Linked DNA regions of Oreochromis niloticus. The protein of the gene in region 1 purifies or fractionates together with the protein of each later gene. This does not show direct contact. Links are inferred from orthologs where the notes say so. Each region holds a gene or a part of one and is shown on either strand. Other genes may lie near its edges.

Region 1 (7,833 bases):
TCTCTGTTCCTCTCTCTCTCTCTCCCTCTGTTCCTCTCTCTCTCCCTCTCTGTTCCTCTCTCTCCCTCTCTGTTCCTCTCTCTCTCTCCCTCTCTGTAGTCCTCTCTCTCTCCCTCTCTGTTCTCTCTCTCTCCCTCTCTGTTCCTCTCTCTCTCTCTCTCTCCCTCTCTGTTCCTCTCTCTCTCTCTCCCTCTCTGTTCCTCTCTCTCTCCCTCTCTGTTCCTCTCTCTCTCTCTCTCTCCCTCTCTGTTCCTCTCTGTTCCTCTCTCTCCCTCTCTGTTCCTCTCTCTCCCTCTCTGTTCCTCTCTGTTCCTCTCTCTCTCCCTCTCTGTTCCTCTCTCTCCCTCTCTGTTCCTCTCTCTCTCTCTCTCCCTCTCTGTTCCTCTCTCTCTCCCTCTCTGTTCCTCTCTCTCCCTCTCTGTTCCCTCTCTCTCTCTCTCCTCTCTGTTCCTCTCTCTCTCTCTCTGTTCCTCTCTCTCTCTCTCTCTCTCCCTCTCTGTTCCTCTCTCTCTCCCTCTCTGTTCCTCTCTCTTTTTTCTCTCTCTCTCTCTCTCCCTCTCTGTTCCTCTCTCTCTCCCTCTCTGTTCCTCTCTCTCTCCCTCTCTGTTCCTCTCTCTCTCTCTCTCTCCCTCTCTGTTCCTCTCTCTCTCCCTCTCTGTTCCTCTCTCTCTCTCTCTCTCCCTCTCTGTTCCTCTCTCTCTCCCTCTCTGTTCCTCTCTCTCCCTCTCTGTTCCCCTCTCTCTCTCTCTCCCTCTCTGTTCCTCTCTCTCTCTCTCTCTGTTCCTCTCTCTCTCTCTCTCTCTCCCTCTCTGTTCCTCTCTCTCTCTCTCTCTCCCTCTCTGTTCCTCTCTCTCTCCCTCTCTGTTCCTCTCTCTCTCTCTCTCTCCCTCTCTGTTCCTCTCTCTCTCCCTCTCTGTTCCTCTCTCTCTCTCTCTCTCTCCCTCTCTGTTCCTCTCTCTCTCCCTCTCTGCTCCTCTCTCTCCCTCTTTGTGCTGACAATCAAGCCAAACACCAACATCATCAAATATACAGTGGAAACCAGATATTTACACACTCTGCAGATAAAAACACAAACACTTTAATTGTAACATCAAATCAGACTAAATGATTATTTTTTTTAGATTGATAAATATAAAAAACATATTTGTTAACTTTTGTATTTTGTATTCAAAACTGAGCCACACTTATGGAGCTCCACAGTTCTTTTCCTGGTGTTTTGGTTGACATGTCTTGATTTTCCCATGTCAAAGAAACAGGCTCTGTGTTTTGCCTTATATGCATCCACAGGTGTGCCACCAATTTACTCACATGGACTCTACTAACCAATCAGAAGCTTCTTAAGCTCAGAATGGAATTGTCTGGAGTTTCCTTATTAATTAACAATAAACTTAGTGTATATACTCCTAAATTTGATGAAAGTGATTAAAATAGACAGCTCCCTCTTTTTATTCTGACATTTAACTAATTCAAAAGATATTTCAACATTTATTTATCTAAAACAAAACAAGTTTACTCTAAATTGATGTTTAACAGTAACAAAAAAAGTTTATGTTTTCTCCCTAAAGTGTAAATATCTGGTTTCATCTGTGAATATACTGCTGTGTATTGAAATTCCTCTTGTCTTGCATAGATATACTAAACAACATACAAAGCATAATATATAAAATAACATCTACCTGAGTTTTTTCTTTAAAAGAAGCTCCTTATGTCCATTCTTGTGTTCATCAGTACACAATTGAAACCGATTTAGAGAGTTTGTTTAGCCGTGGAGGGTAAGAACTGAAAATATGAAATGTAAGCTAAGACTTTCTAAAAAATCAGCACTGTCGTTCGGCATTTTATTTATCCATTTGTTGATTCACTCAAAGAGCAAATAACGCAGTAATATCGGTTTGATATCAATCTTTTGTGATACACCGTCATATTTACATTATTTGTACAGTACGAATGATTTGTTTTGGTACCTGGTCAAACTTAAGCTCTCCTCTGTCTGCAGCAAACTTGCAGGCAGCAGCTTCTCCCCCCTCGCTCACATGGGTGCTGTGCTCAGTCGCCTAGTGCCTGAGCTCGGATCATACCAAAATTAGGGGGAATTTACGACGGTGCGCTCTGTGCTTCGTGTGTTGTTTTTGTTTTATACAGTTGTCAGTCAGGCATCTAACTAATAAATTACACTCCAAAAGACCCCATGCTTCTGAAAAAATGACTCGAGACCAAGACCGGTCTCGAGACATCCAACTCTACTGTTTATAAGGTTGGGGAAACCTGCGGTCAGCTGAGCCTGAAGAAGTCACCTGGGTGAGTGATGAAATGTTTCTCCCACTGAAAACATCCAGATGAACAGAATCAACTTTTTGCTTACCTAGATGATTGAGCATGCATCAACACACTCATTTGTTATCTTGGCTGTGTGGTTAGGAACGTTGTCCTGTTAGAAGATGAACCTTTGTTCCAGTCTGCGATCCATAGAGCTCTGGACACATAACTGCATTCATCTTTCCCTCGACCCTGACTACTCTATCAGTTTCTCAGTTCCCTCTGCTGAAAAACATCCCCACAGCATGATGCTTCCACCACCGTGCTTCACTGTAACGATTTTATTGGCAGGCAATGAGTGGTGCCATGATGCTTGGCATTCAGGCCAAAGAGTTCAACCTTTGTTTCATCAGACCAGAGAATTGTGTTTCTCGTGGTCTGAGAATCCTTTAGGTGCTTTCTGGGAAACTCCAGGTGAGCTGTCACCTTCCACTGAGGAGTGGCCTCAGTCTGACCATTCTACCATACAGGCCTGATTGGTGGAGTGCTGCAGAAATGGTTGGACTTCTGGAAGGTTCTCTGTCCACAGAGCAACACTGGAGCTCTGTCCGAGTGACCATCAGGTTCTTGGACACCTCCAGCTCTAGGTAGAGTCCTGGTGGCTCCAAATATCTCCCATCTATGCATGATGGAGTCCACTGTACTCATTGTACTTCAGTGCTGCAGAATCTTTTCGTACCCTTCTCCAGACCTGTGCCTCAATACAATCCTGTCACTGAGGTCTACATACAGTTCCTTGGATTTAATGGCTCGGTTGGTGCTCTGACACCTGTCCATAGTTTGGACCTTACAGAGACAGGTGTGTACTTTCCAGATCATGTCCAGTAAACTGAATTTACCACAGGTGGACTCCAATCAAGTTGTAGACACATCTGACAGATGAACAGTGGAAACAGGAAGCACCTTAGCTCAGTTTTGAATGTCACGACAAAGGCTGTGAGTGCATGTAATGTTTTTGTTCTTTATTTTTAAGAAATTTGCAAGAACATCAAAGTCTTTTTTTAACTTGTCATTTTGTGTGTAGAATTTGAAGTGAGAAATGAATTTAATGTTTGAATTAAGCTGTAACATGAAAATATGAGGAAACGCTGTGAATCCTTTCTGGATGCACTGTAACTTGTTTCTGTGAATGATTGTTGTTGTTCTCTGTCAAAGCCATGCAGTCTGCTGATGCACTGTTGTTGTCTGACCCCTTTGCAAAGACAAATTAAAACCTCAGAGTGACAACCTGTTTGTGCAGATTCATTTATGTCAAATTTCCATAACATGGTATGGGGCATTTTAAAATGTTTAGTAAACCAAAAAAGTGGTCCTCATAAGATAAGTACGAAAATATTCAATATAATATGTGTATGATATACAGAAGCTGGTTCATTGGAAATAACTGTTAAATGAGTGTGATCCGGTCAGCCTGTGAGGACCCCTGCTTAACCAGCTTCTCTTTAATCCCACTAGCATGGCTAAATCTGTGGTAGCCTAGCTTATAGCATCAACTTGACTAAATATGTTCATTCCTCCTGATGTTGACTGCGGTTGGTGAACATGTGTGTGTGTTAGCCAAGACACGGGGAGAGAATGTGTGATGTTGCGTTTGTCCCATTACAACACAGTGATATGGGTCCAAGAAAAGATCTGCACTGGGCGCTAATAGCTAATTCAAATGTAATAGAGTTGAATAAAGCAGCGCCACCTTCTGGTGAAGATGGCCTACATGTACTGACCTATATAAAGATACAGTGCAGATGTCACAGAGCCCACTCTGGTCAGAAATCCTGCAGCCGTAAACTGACTTCACAGAAATGACCAAGAAGCTGAATGGCAGATGGCAAAGCTAAAATGCCAGTAAGTGAAAAGAAGTAATGTAAAAAAAATGAAAATCACATGATGAAGAAGCAGCCCTGAAGCCCACCATAGAACTGTGGAGCAGTGGTTAGCACTGTTAGCTCACAGCAACAGGGATCCTGGGCCTCTCTCTGTATACAGCACTTGTTTAATGATTGATAGTAACGCATTATTATCGTCACAGGGTCGAGGCAGGGCTTGAAACAGATGGTGCTAAATGACTGTATGTGGATTTGGGCTAAATGACGTGAAGCAAAACCAACATATGTGCACCTTCTCACGAAATTCCGACAGCACTTAAATGTAGCAGAGCTCCGCTGGGACGGACAAAGCCCTCTTTGTCACTTCTTCCCCTTTTTCAGCTTTTTCACTTGAGCCTCTGATTGTGCCGGGAGTGTCCCAGTGAGCACATTTAAACTTTTATCTTTAAACTGTGCTCGTTAAAACACCAAGTCGCCATCCTAAACAGCCATTTCAAATAATAATAAACTAACACTTGATCGTGTTTCATGACACACTTCGGGCGCAGAGTTGAGCTTTTAACTTTTTCCTGCTGGTTAGACCTTTGTTAGAGCCCAGTCTGGAGAGCAGGAGAGAGAAGGAGGGATTTCCCTGTTCCAAAAACTTTTTCATCCAGTTTCCATTAAGGAGGGGGAGGGAGGATGGACATTCCTCTCATACTGAGGCCAGGCGGTGTGTGTGGGGGGGGGAGGAAGGGGGTGCTTCCTGCTACTTCTCATGTACCGCTTCTTTCTTTACTCTCAACATGGAAAAAGACTCCTTGGCCTCGAACAAACTCTTTTTCCCGGTGAAAGAATAAAAAGCCCACGGTGACGTCCAAGATGGAGCGGCTGCAGCAGCGCGTTTCGTAACTTCAGGAGGGTCGGTGCGTGCCGAGGAGACACGACAGATCAGCAGGAACCGAACAAAAGAATGTTTCATTGGAATCAGGGGCTCGGAAAGTAAACCAAGTTCTTCAGGTAAATCATTTACGTGTGTGTGCGCACATTAACCGGATGCTCCGCTTATCTTTGTCAAACTGTTTTAGTCCTGCTGTTGTCATTTTACGACACACAAAACTAAACGGCTGAGAAAAAAAGACTTTCAGCTCGTCGTTCGTAAAGCTTAGATTGGCTTCGGACTCAGTCATGTGTGCTTTGAATTAACTTCAATAATCAGTGCCAATTCACTGACAGCGTGACGTGTAGGTGGGTGTAGCCTTTACTGCATCCTGGCCTTATCAGCAGGATAAGTTAGCTCTGTATGACATTTGAATGTGAACGTGGGGTCCTTGGAGTGGGTCCAGTCTGAAGTGGATGACACAACAGTTGTTTTGCATTCACAGCGTTGTACTGTCAATGATCACATGCGCACAGTAATCTGCTTATGTGACATTTGTACCTCAGAGTGAGTAACAGTGCAGTGAACAAAAACTAAACTGTAAATCTAAACTTTAACTGACCAGATAAACAAGAAAACTCACTCTATGGCTTTTTGCATAGTAAAATTTTAATTGGGAAATCCATCCATCCATCCATTCATTCATTTTCCCAACTGTTTATCCAAATTGGGCACGCCTTGTCCCACGAGCCTGCCCCAACCCTTACAGGGGGTTCGGCATTTCCACATAGCATCATCGCTTTAGTTTCTCTGTTGACACACACAGACTAAATTCTGATAATTGCCATTTAATTTAAGACTAAACAAGATTGAGTTTAATGATGAAGATTAATTTGTATTTGTAAAATATTTGAAATTGTAGCTTTTAAATGAGCTTGAATTGCCATTAATCACAGAGACTAGGACAGGGGTGTCCAACTCCAGGCCTCGAGGGCCGGTGTCCTGCAGGTTTTAGATGTGTCCTTGATCCATCACAGCTGATTTAAATTGCTAAGTGACCCCCTGAACATGTCTTGAAGTTCTCCAGAGATAATGAACTAATCATTTGATTCAGGTGTGCTGACCCAGGGTGAGATCTAAAACCTGCAGGACACCGGCCCTCGAGGCCTACAGCTACAGTTGGACACCCCTGGAATAGAAGGTGTAGCTGTACAGTCACTGGTCCTTTCTTTTGATTTGAAGATATTTGTTAACAGCACTCTTCAAAGAAAGACATTTGCTGCTCCAAAATTTGGAGTTCAGCTTGAGGTCAAAGGGGGAGTCCATCCGAATGTCTAATGTTAGGGTAAGAGTTCCTTTAACTGAAGGGGCCGGGCCCAGCTCCTGTAAAACAACCTCGCACCGTGATCCTCGCTCCACCAAACTTTACACTTGGCACAGTGCAGTCACACAAGCATTGTTCCCAAGTGTAACACTGAACTGGCAACTAGCAGAAGTAGTGAAGGTAGATGACTTTAATCCCTGGGGTTGGGAGGTCAGAGGTAGAGACTAGCAGCCGGGTGGTTTTGTGACGGAAGGATCGCAGCTCAGGAAAAGGGAGGATTTACAAAATGGTGTTTAGATCAAAAAGATGGGAGATGGAGCTGTTCAAGTTTTCACTGCGAGTGAGCAGGATGGACAGGACAGAGCTCGGGCTGAGATGGTTTGGACGAGAGCGGCAGCTTATGATTATTTTAGTAAACAAGTATTCCATTTCTTTTTCGAGTAATCGGATAAGACATAGTTTTGTTTTAATAATCAGCAGTAGTAAATAAAAAAAAAATACAGGTCCTTTAAAATAAACTCCTAATTGGTTTTCATGCTAGAAATGTCAGTGTTCTTCATAGTTTAACTAAATAGAAACTAAAGGAAGTGAACCCGCAATTGTATTTACACACATAAAAGAAAGAATTCTGAGAATGAAATGTAGACATGAGGTCACAGGTCAAATGTTTGGATGCAATGTTGGATGTGATATTTGGAATTCCCATATAAATGTTACCAATCCAACCAGAGGCACTGGAATTTAAAGCATAGTTTTAAAGTTAAAAGACATTTTATGAAGGTTTGATCTTATTTGACCTTAAAGAAGAGGTCAGAGGTCACATTGTAATGTAACTCCTGTATCTTTACTGTAGAATTGAGTAAACCAAACAGTGGTGGATGGGAGAAGCTCAAAGGTTTGCTGATCAGTGGTTTGATGGAGCACCCAGCTTTTCCCTGTAAAGGTCTGAATGGTTATGACAGTAAGAAGCACTGCTAGAAAAATGTTTTCACTCCACCAGAGCTCGTTCTTGTGGTAATGGTTACGACTTTTTTCTCCTAATCGTTTGTGTGTAGACAAACTTCGTGTTAAACTGTGACGTTTATTTTCACTACTGCTGTTGTTTTATCAGCCGTAGCAGCCAGTTTGCTAACATGTCAACAGTTTGCTAATTGACCGGGATCATAGTCTGACTTACAGCTGGTAACCCTAACCCCCACATACAGTTTACCCCTGTTATCCTTTGTTATCCTAGTGCTAACCAGGCCTGACCCTGCTTAGCTTCCAAGATCAGAAAAGGCTGGCTCCAACTTTTAATGTGCTATAACTTGTTTTCACCAGCCACATATCCCAGTATGTACTGCACCCGTGTGTTGTACCTGATTCTTGAATATTGTATCTCACAGTTTAAATATCTGCGGTTGCTTTAGCATCATTCTGCTTGCTTCTTTCATTTTATGTGTCATGAACAATCTGCACTGATCTTGAGTAACATCTGCAACATGAACGACTGACACTTAGCACTCTTCTCT
Region 2 (7,375 bases), on another chromosome or scaffold:
TAACTAAAATTGCAGAGCAAACAATGAGGGAAAGACAAGACACACAGTTTGTAGGGGTATGGATACACTTCCTACACTTAAAAACATGCAAAATGGATCTTTGGTGCTGGAATGTAATGAAATGTGGCCAATGCCTAAAGGTCAGACTAGTTAGCAAACAGCTGTTTTCATCTGGAAAAGAAAGACGCGTGCTGTCCTTATATTGTGAGAACCTATCCATCACGTGGCTGCTTGCATGCAAACTTGTGGCGCTGTTACTAGTGTTCGAGTAGTATTAGATTGCTGTAGTGACTTTTTGCAGAAAAGTGACCAGGACAGCTGACACTCAGATTCCAGAGAGGAGAGCATGTCTGAAAAGGAGCTCAAAACACCACAATACTCCATGCATGGATTCAACTGCTTGCGTGCCAGTTACTCAAAGTTTACCAAAAAGTCCACTTTGACAAAACTGTACTGAAATAATCTTGTTAAAATTAGCAGTTGACCAAGGTGAGGCAACAAAAGGAGTTATTCGCCTCCACAAAACGTGTCCTTCAAGACTTGAATGTCTGTGCAGAGTGTGGTCTTACTCTGGTCTCAATTTTAACTGTACTCACAGAACATCTACCTGTGAGGTTGGAAACCACGATAACCATTCATTCAATCAAATGCAAACTGCAGAGACTAATGCTCAGTGGTTAAAATTAAAACACATAGCGACAGCTTAACAACGCGTTTAGTTTAAATTTGTTTGTTCAAAAACTACCATGGCCGGATCACCCACGGTGTAAAACTGACAGGTGCAGTTTAAATACTGAAGCACTCAGTTGTAAGAAAAACAAAAAAACAAAACAGCGCCTCACTAAGAGAAAGAGCACCTGTTTCTGGAGTAATTAAAGAGAGCAGCTTTATTTCTTTCTAAACTCATTTTATTCCCCGCTCTCACCTCCATCCCTGTCTCTGGCCCGGTGCGTGTGGACACCCTTTGCTCTACTGTGCCCCGTGCTGTCGATGTGCTTGTTTTCAGGGCTGTCAGACCTCCTGAGCATCTTGCAGGGAGGGGTGATGTCTGAAGAGTCTCGCATCTTGTCATGCCGGTGGTCCCCTCCTGGATGGCTCTTGGATGAGTATTTGAGAGTCTGTAAACACAAATCAAATGCCTTACTAAAAACCTCACACTTAAAATAGATCTACGCTTCTGTTATCACCATTAGCAGGTTTCTAAAAGCAGCCATGGTGAGTACAGTCCTCAGCTCTTTAAAGTACTGTCATGTCATTTCATTCATAGTTTCAATGATGCAGAAATTAATTAGCACGAGGAAATACATATGTATAAATTGAGCAGCTTATTTATCGACTTCGCCCCTTCTATAAGCTTATATTTAACAGCCACGTTAATTTAGCCCGTATTTCTGCTCATAACAACGTATGCATGCAAACTAACACATGTTAAATGACGAAGTAAACAACATTTTATCCGACCTACGAGTATTAGCTCGCCATTTCACTTGGCTATCGCAATTTGAATTAGGTAGTGAATACACTGGTTTGCTGTATAAATGTCAAGCACTTTGATATTAAGGAAGCTTAACTGGCTATATCCTTAAAATGACAGATTGCGGTCAGGCCCTAATCGGACTGGCTAGCAAGCAAGCTAACAGTAACAAGCTATCATTAGCTTTCAGCTGTAATAAAACTCGCCCGTACCTTTTCCAAAACAGCCGACTTCGACGAATATGTTCACTCTGTCAAGTCTTTACTAGCAATGCTAACGTTAGGATACATTTACAGGGCTTCAATGGAGGTTTTAAGCAAACCTTTCTACTTTTTGTGTTATTTTCCGCACTGACTGGGGCCTGTTGTGCTCTCCAGAAGCCTGCATTAGAGTGTCCATTTTAATCTTATTTGCTGCTAGCAAGCTAGCAGGAGACGCTTGGCTAACAAGTACCTGATAGGGCTGAGAATCTCTTCGGTCGCACCTGCAAAGAAAAAGGAACCAGTTGTGAATTTTAAGCTTCAAATGTCAATGTTCAGAAATCGGTGAAAGCCCCGCAGCGAGTGAGGGATACAAGTTTCCACACAGTTATTTTGGTTTCAGTAAAAATGGCGGATTGTCAAAGCGTAGCTATGAGGAAAAGGAAAAAAAAATCTGAATAAGTAGGGTTAAAAGGAGGTGTTTACCCATCGCCGAGTCTCGGTTGTTTCCTTGCATACATTACCATCAATGCCGTGTTAGTGTGATTGGAGTGGGATGTGAAAGACTGATAACTGCACTATGTTTTCGTGTTGATTCAGCGACCTGAAATCGCCAGTTATTTTTCAGCCTAGCTTCTGGGTATTGCAATGCTAAATCGGCTGCACTGGTCGAAAGAGCGCCCTCACTCAGTCCATCTCCCACTCTGGCTCACAGCCGTGTCTCTAACAGCCGAGCAAACGTAGCAGAGAAGCTGAGCTGAGACCGGGGTTGCCAGATAGGCCAAATCCACCACTAGGAGCACGCCTTCGTGAAGTCAGAAAATGTTTACCCAGTCATGCTAATAACATTATATGTGTGAGTTTTTGTTGCTCTCTGTCATGTACATATATTTGTTAAGCTCATACTGTTAATTTTACTTTTACATTACCGAATTTGGATATGTAAAACTTACACATAAATGTTTTAATGGCGCATTAAAATCACCTCGTGTGCCAGCACTATGACGTCACTGATAAGTATTTGGAAAAATGACGAGTATACATTAACTTCAATTTTTTTTGCAGACCTGGCAACCTAGCTGCAACCGCTGCAACTACACACACCCCCTTTCTATGGCAACATCCGGGCCACAAAGCGACTGGAGTCCCCTCAAAACTTGCAAAAACGTTAATCTGGGTTGCTGCATCGGATATTTTCTACCCAGAATTTGGATTTGATGCGCGTGGCTCTTGTGGTCCTCCATACTGAATAAACGATTATGAATATAAATATCATGTTTACAGATCTGAGAACCAGTGACTTGTTCTCTCCTGACATCTAGTGGTTGTACTTTGACATCGCAGGTAATATTCATCAAAGCGTCAGCAATCAGTAAAACTGCACTATCTAAAACACGGTTTATGGTATACCACAAACGACTGGGAAGATTTTGAATGACAGACTTTCCTTTGTAAGATTAACAAATGAAACAGGGGCCATTTTTTATTACTGTACTATTCTGCTTTCAGTCAACTTTTTAAAAAATCTGTCTGTTAAAAATTTATGAAAGGGATATAGTAATGATAAAAAAAACAAATCCAAACATAAATATATAAATCCCCAAAGGAATCGTTATGAACTGAATTATAAACGCGTACTACGTTCCCAACACAGAGTTTGACCAGGTTGTATTAAAGTCTGAGTAGCTGTCACAAGGGGGCTGCAGGAGTCCATTGTTCCCAGACAATGCAGCCCACAACATATCCCAAGCCCGAGGACAAAAGAAGCTGCAGTTAAGCATTTTGGCTCACAGTGCAATTTAATGTGGGGACAAGAGGCCACAAACAGGGGGTGTTTCTATTGTTAGCATATTTCAGCAACTTGTTCACACACGCCCAGTGTTGCGTGTGTCCATGTGTATGATGTCTCTGAGCTATATTCAAATTCCATTAATTAATTAATATATTTATTTACGTATTTGTTTATTTGTTTTAAGAATAAAGCAGAAATAAATCAAATCACTTCTGGCCCGTCATTGGGCAGCTTGTTGCTTTCTATCTTAATGTGGCCGGTAGGGGGGAGGTATCACACCACTTTTATGGCTCTAGTACGAAAGGTACAAAAACTCACCTGAACACTAGATTCTGTTGGGTTGTGGTTTTTCTAGTTCTGATTTCTTTTCCAGCTATTTAAAAAAGATACAGATTACAAACTGTTTCACTGAGATCCAGGGAATAAAAACTGGCAAAACATTAGACAAAACATTAACGGCTCGAAGCAAAACAAAACAAAAAAGTCCGACTATGCTACTGTTCGATAAATGAAAATGAATTACTTCACTCCTTATGTCCAGATGAACAGAATCAACCTTTGGAGATTTACTTACCTGGATGATTGAACATGCATCAAGACGTTCACTCCTTATGATTAAATTGGCACAAATAACCTTTGCTTTGGACGCACTTCTGTAAATTTCCCATCTATTTGTCCATGAACATATTTCCTCACCGACCTGATTTTTAATTGTAATTGTGCCTCCTTGCTTACTACGGAAAGGCAAGTTTACAAGGCATTTGTGGATGACGGACAACAAAAACAAGCCAATTAAAATGTAGAATGAATCTCTGGACACGCCTCGATAGAACACTGACCAATGAACGAGCGAATGGGGTTGCCTGAGTGGTGAAAGCCCCGCGCGGCACAGATCTGAGAGCAGCTCTGTGTTGTTGCACGCCCTCCCGCTAACGCTGTGTCTAAATATACAAACCGCTTCCAAGTCAGCCCCTTGACAGAGCACTTTACGATTCTTGGAGAGTGGCACTGTCTGCTGAGGCGTAACGTTTTGAAAGCTCAGCAAACACCGCAGAGAGCGGGGATGAGTTAAGGGGTCTACAAAGGAGAGAACAGACGGTTTTGAAAGTGGGAAACAAAACCAGTGAAAAGTTTTGCCCTCCAAAGAACCAGTGGAGTAGCTACACCGTGGCCATTCAACTCCGAACTCCGAGTGAGTAGAACCATCACGTTATTTATCCTCACAGCTGTCAGAACAATGAAAACAAACTAACATATTTGTATTTAAAATAAAAGCTGCCTTGGATATTGCAGTGGTTCCATGGGGAAATGCGTAAGGCTATAGGTAGCAAGACTAGCCGTGTGACAGTATAGTAGAGGTGGAGTTGCTTTGTATGCGCTAACCTAACAGCGAACTTCAGTTGTTACCAACCTACAAAATATACAAGTGGGACTTGTGCCAAATTTTACACGGTAAAATTGATTTATTCGAAAGAAATGTTAACCTCGTCCCCTTCTTCCGACATTATATGCGCATTGAAATGTGAAATTCTTTCCTAATATCGCCTTTTTAGTAGTAAAATAAAAATTTCACCTGACGGCTTTTCTCGTGTGGGGTTTCCGTGGGGAAGTGAACGCAGCTGTGTTGCAGGGCCCACAACAATGTTTCGAAATGACCGTAATAAGTTGTTATTAGTGATAGCAACATGCACGGCTACATGTACAACCTAATGACACGACACAGGTAGTCCAACCTGGTAAAATACACACAAAGCAAGCATAAATGCAACCTTTCCACAAGCACACACACCTACAATGTAAAGCTCCTTCTCCCTCTATCCACGCCTTGTAGTGTGGACAGAGGGAATACAGAGCCCTTATGCCCTGCGAAGTCAAGTATGGTGACACGGAGCTTGACACTGGCTGACATCGCCAAGCCTCTGACTGGGCTGCCACACCGGGAGACTCAGCACTTGGCCAGCTGCCACCGCCTCCCAGCTCCGCCACTGGTTTTGCATATTTTGAATGTGCATAATCATGATCAGGCAGGTGTGTGTGTGTGTTTTGTCTCACACAATTCCTTCATAATCCTTATTGCTCTGCCTTCATATAATTATAGCTCACACCCTTTGTGCATCTTTACTTAAGAGTGCCTGATAGTCCAGAAGTGAAAGTATCTTCCTATAATGGGTTTCTTGAAGTGGCCAAAAGTCAAAGGGACCCAAGACACCAGTATAATTTGCTGAATTAAGCTGTTGTTTTCAATTCCTCTCATTCCTCTGAGTCACTCATTCCCTTGAAAGTTAAATTCATAACCACTGACTGCAGATGTGGCTGTCATGTAAAAGAGGAAGTGCAGTGATGTTTGGAGGAAACAGTTCATTAAAAAGAAAGCTGGACTTCACTGGCAAACATCCCATTGAATTCAAGGATTTTCCAAATTTAAATCAATGTCTAGGTGGCCTTATTCCAAATAAACCTCTCACTGCTTGCTGGCAGGTAAAGTGCCTGAACTGTGTCCCATCACTCAGTAGTGATTTTGTTCGTATCCTTTTACCACATTGTGGTGCTTTGGCTGAGAGTGAAAAGGAAAAAAAGATGGTAAGAGGATGACCTTCTTTTTCTCATGGTTCACTGCCACTGAGGGGACTTTCTGAAGAGCTGACATTCCTCTGTGTGGTTTAATCTACAGTTTTTTTTGGCCACCTATTGTGCTCTCACTGGGAATAACCCAGTTTTTTTGTTATTGTGTTTTTTTTAAAAATCTGGTCTAGAAAAAGGTAGGAGGCCTTTAGTCTGCATTCCAAATGGGCAGGAAAAGTCTCTCAGGAGACTTTGTAAGTATTTTAGTCAAGTTCATTACTCCAGCTTGTTTTTGAGGTCAGCAGTCGGGCATCATGACAGAGGGTTTCATTAAATCAGGTTTGTCATGGTTAGTGGGTTCAGGTGATGATTGAAGGGGTCAAGGTACAAATGTTTGCATCCTGGAAATTGACTGTACAAATGCCTGCTGCCAGATGATTTTCTTTTGTTTTTTGTGCACATAGTTCTCTGGAGTGTGTATATGGGAGCAGCGGAGGTTAGGGTGGAGTCAAATGCTGTGACTCAGACGAGGCTCCGTGTAGGAGAGTTTGACCCGTGTTGGTTGCCTGAACAGGTGTCTCCGAGCTGCAGCTCCGCATAGCTCGCATTCCCAGGGTTTTGTTCCTGGCGTGGATGGTCACTGAGCTGGGGGAGGGAGATGTGGGAACTAAGAATGCTATGCGTACAAGGCTTAACTCCCAGAATTCACCGTGGCAACCTGCTGACAGAGACAAACGCTTCCTGTCCCTACAGCAGCCTGGTCTATGTTGATGAGAAACCTATCAGCAGCTCAGTGCGGTGCCCACGGCCGGAGACAAAGCTGAGATTTGGTTCGGAACTCCTTGTCAGCAGGGAGGCTATTTTCTTGGAGCTTAAGGGTGGGTGGGATACAGTGGTTTAAGACTCTTAATCCAAGTATTAGTTTGGATTACTATCATCTCTCAGAGTCATGGGAAATTGCCTTGTGTGAAGACAGTTCATTGGAGTTTGCCTGACCACTCTATATCTCTCATGTATCTGTGACTCTCTTGGGTGTCCTGTGGGAGATGCTTCAGGAGAATGGGGTCCTGGGCCTGTTGTTAATGCTGCAGGTTTTTAAGTATCCTGGAATCTTGTTCACAAGTGGGGGAAAGAGTGGACAGATGGATTGGTGCAGCATCTGCATATTCTATTCAGATTTTATGAGGAGAGAGCTGAGCCTTGAAGCAAAGCTGTCAATTTGATTGGTCAGTTTAAAATCTGAGCTTTATCTCTGCCCATGAGCTAATGTTAGCAACTGAAAGACACTTATGCCTGCCTGGACTCACACTTATGGACCCGTTATACCTGTTGTTAGGCTGTGTTGCA

Evidence for each region.
Region 2: the proteins of amot (region 1) and mpp7a purify together in Homo sapiens (affinity purification with mass spectrometry; 3 studies listed by BioGRID and IntAct, with this or other methods). This does not show direct contact. The link is inferred for Oreochromis niloticus from reciprocal best matches to the Homo sapiens genes AMOT and MPP7.

Annotation. Positions count from the first base shown.
Region 1 is NC_031975.2:392,297-400,129, reverse strand, and holds the start of amot (angiomotin), read left to right. Parts: upstream 1-4,823; 5' UTR 4,824-5,138; intron 5,139-7,175; 5' UTR 7,176-7,237; coding exon 7,238-7,265; intron 7,266-7,833.
Region 2 is NC_031974.2:29,246,114-29,253,488, reverse strand, and holds the start of mpp7a (MAGUK p55 subfamily member 7), read left to right. Parts: upstream 1-4,367; 5' UTR 4,368-4,658; intron 4,659-7,375. Other genes in the region: waca (WW domain-containing adapter protein with coiled-coil), read right to left, coding at 926-1,118, 1,928-1,958, 3,785-3,839, 4,041-4,056. UniProt on the Homo sapiens protein: Acts as an important adapter that promotes epithelial cell polarity and tight junction formation via its interaction with DLG1. Involved in the assembly of protein complexes at sites of cell-cell contact.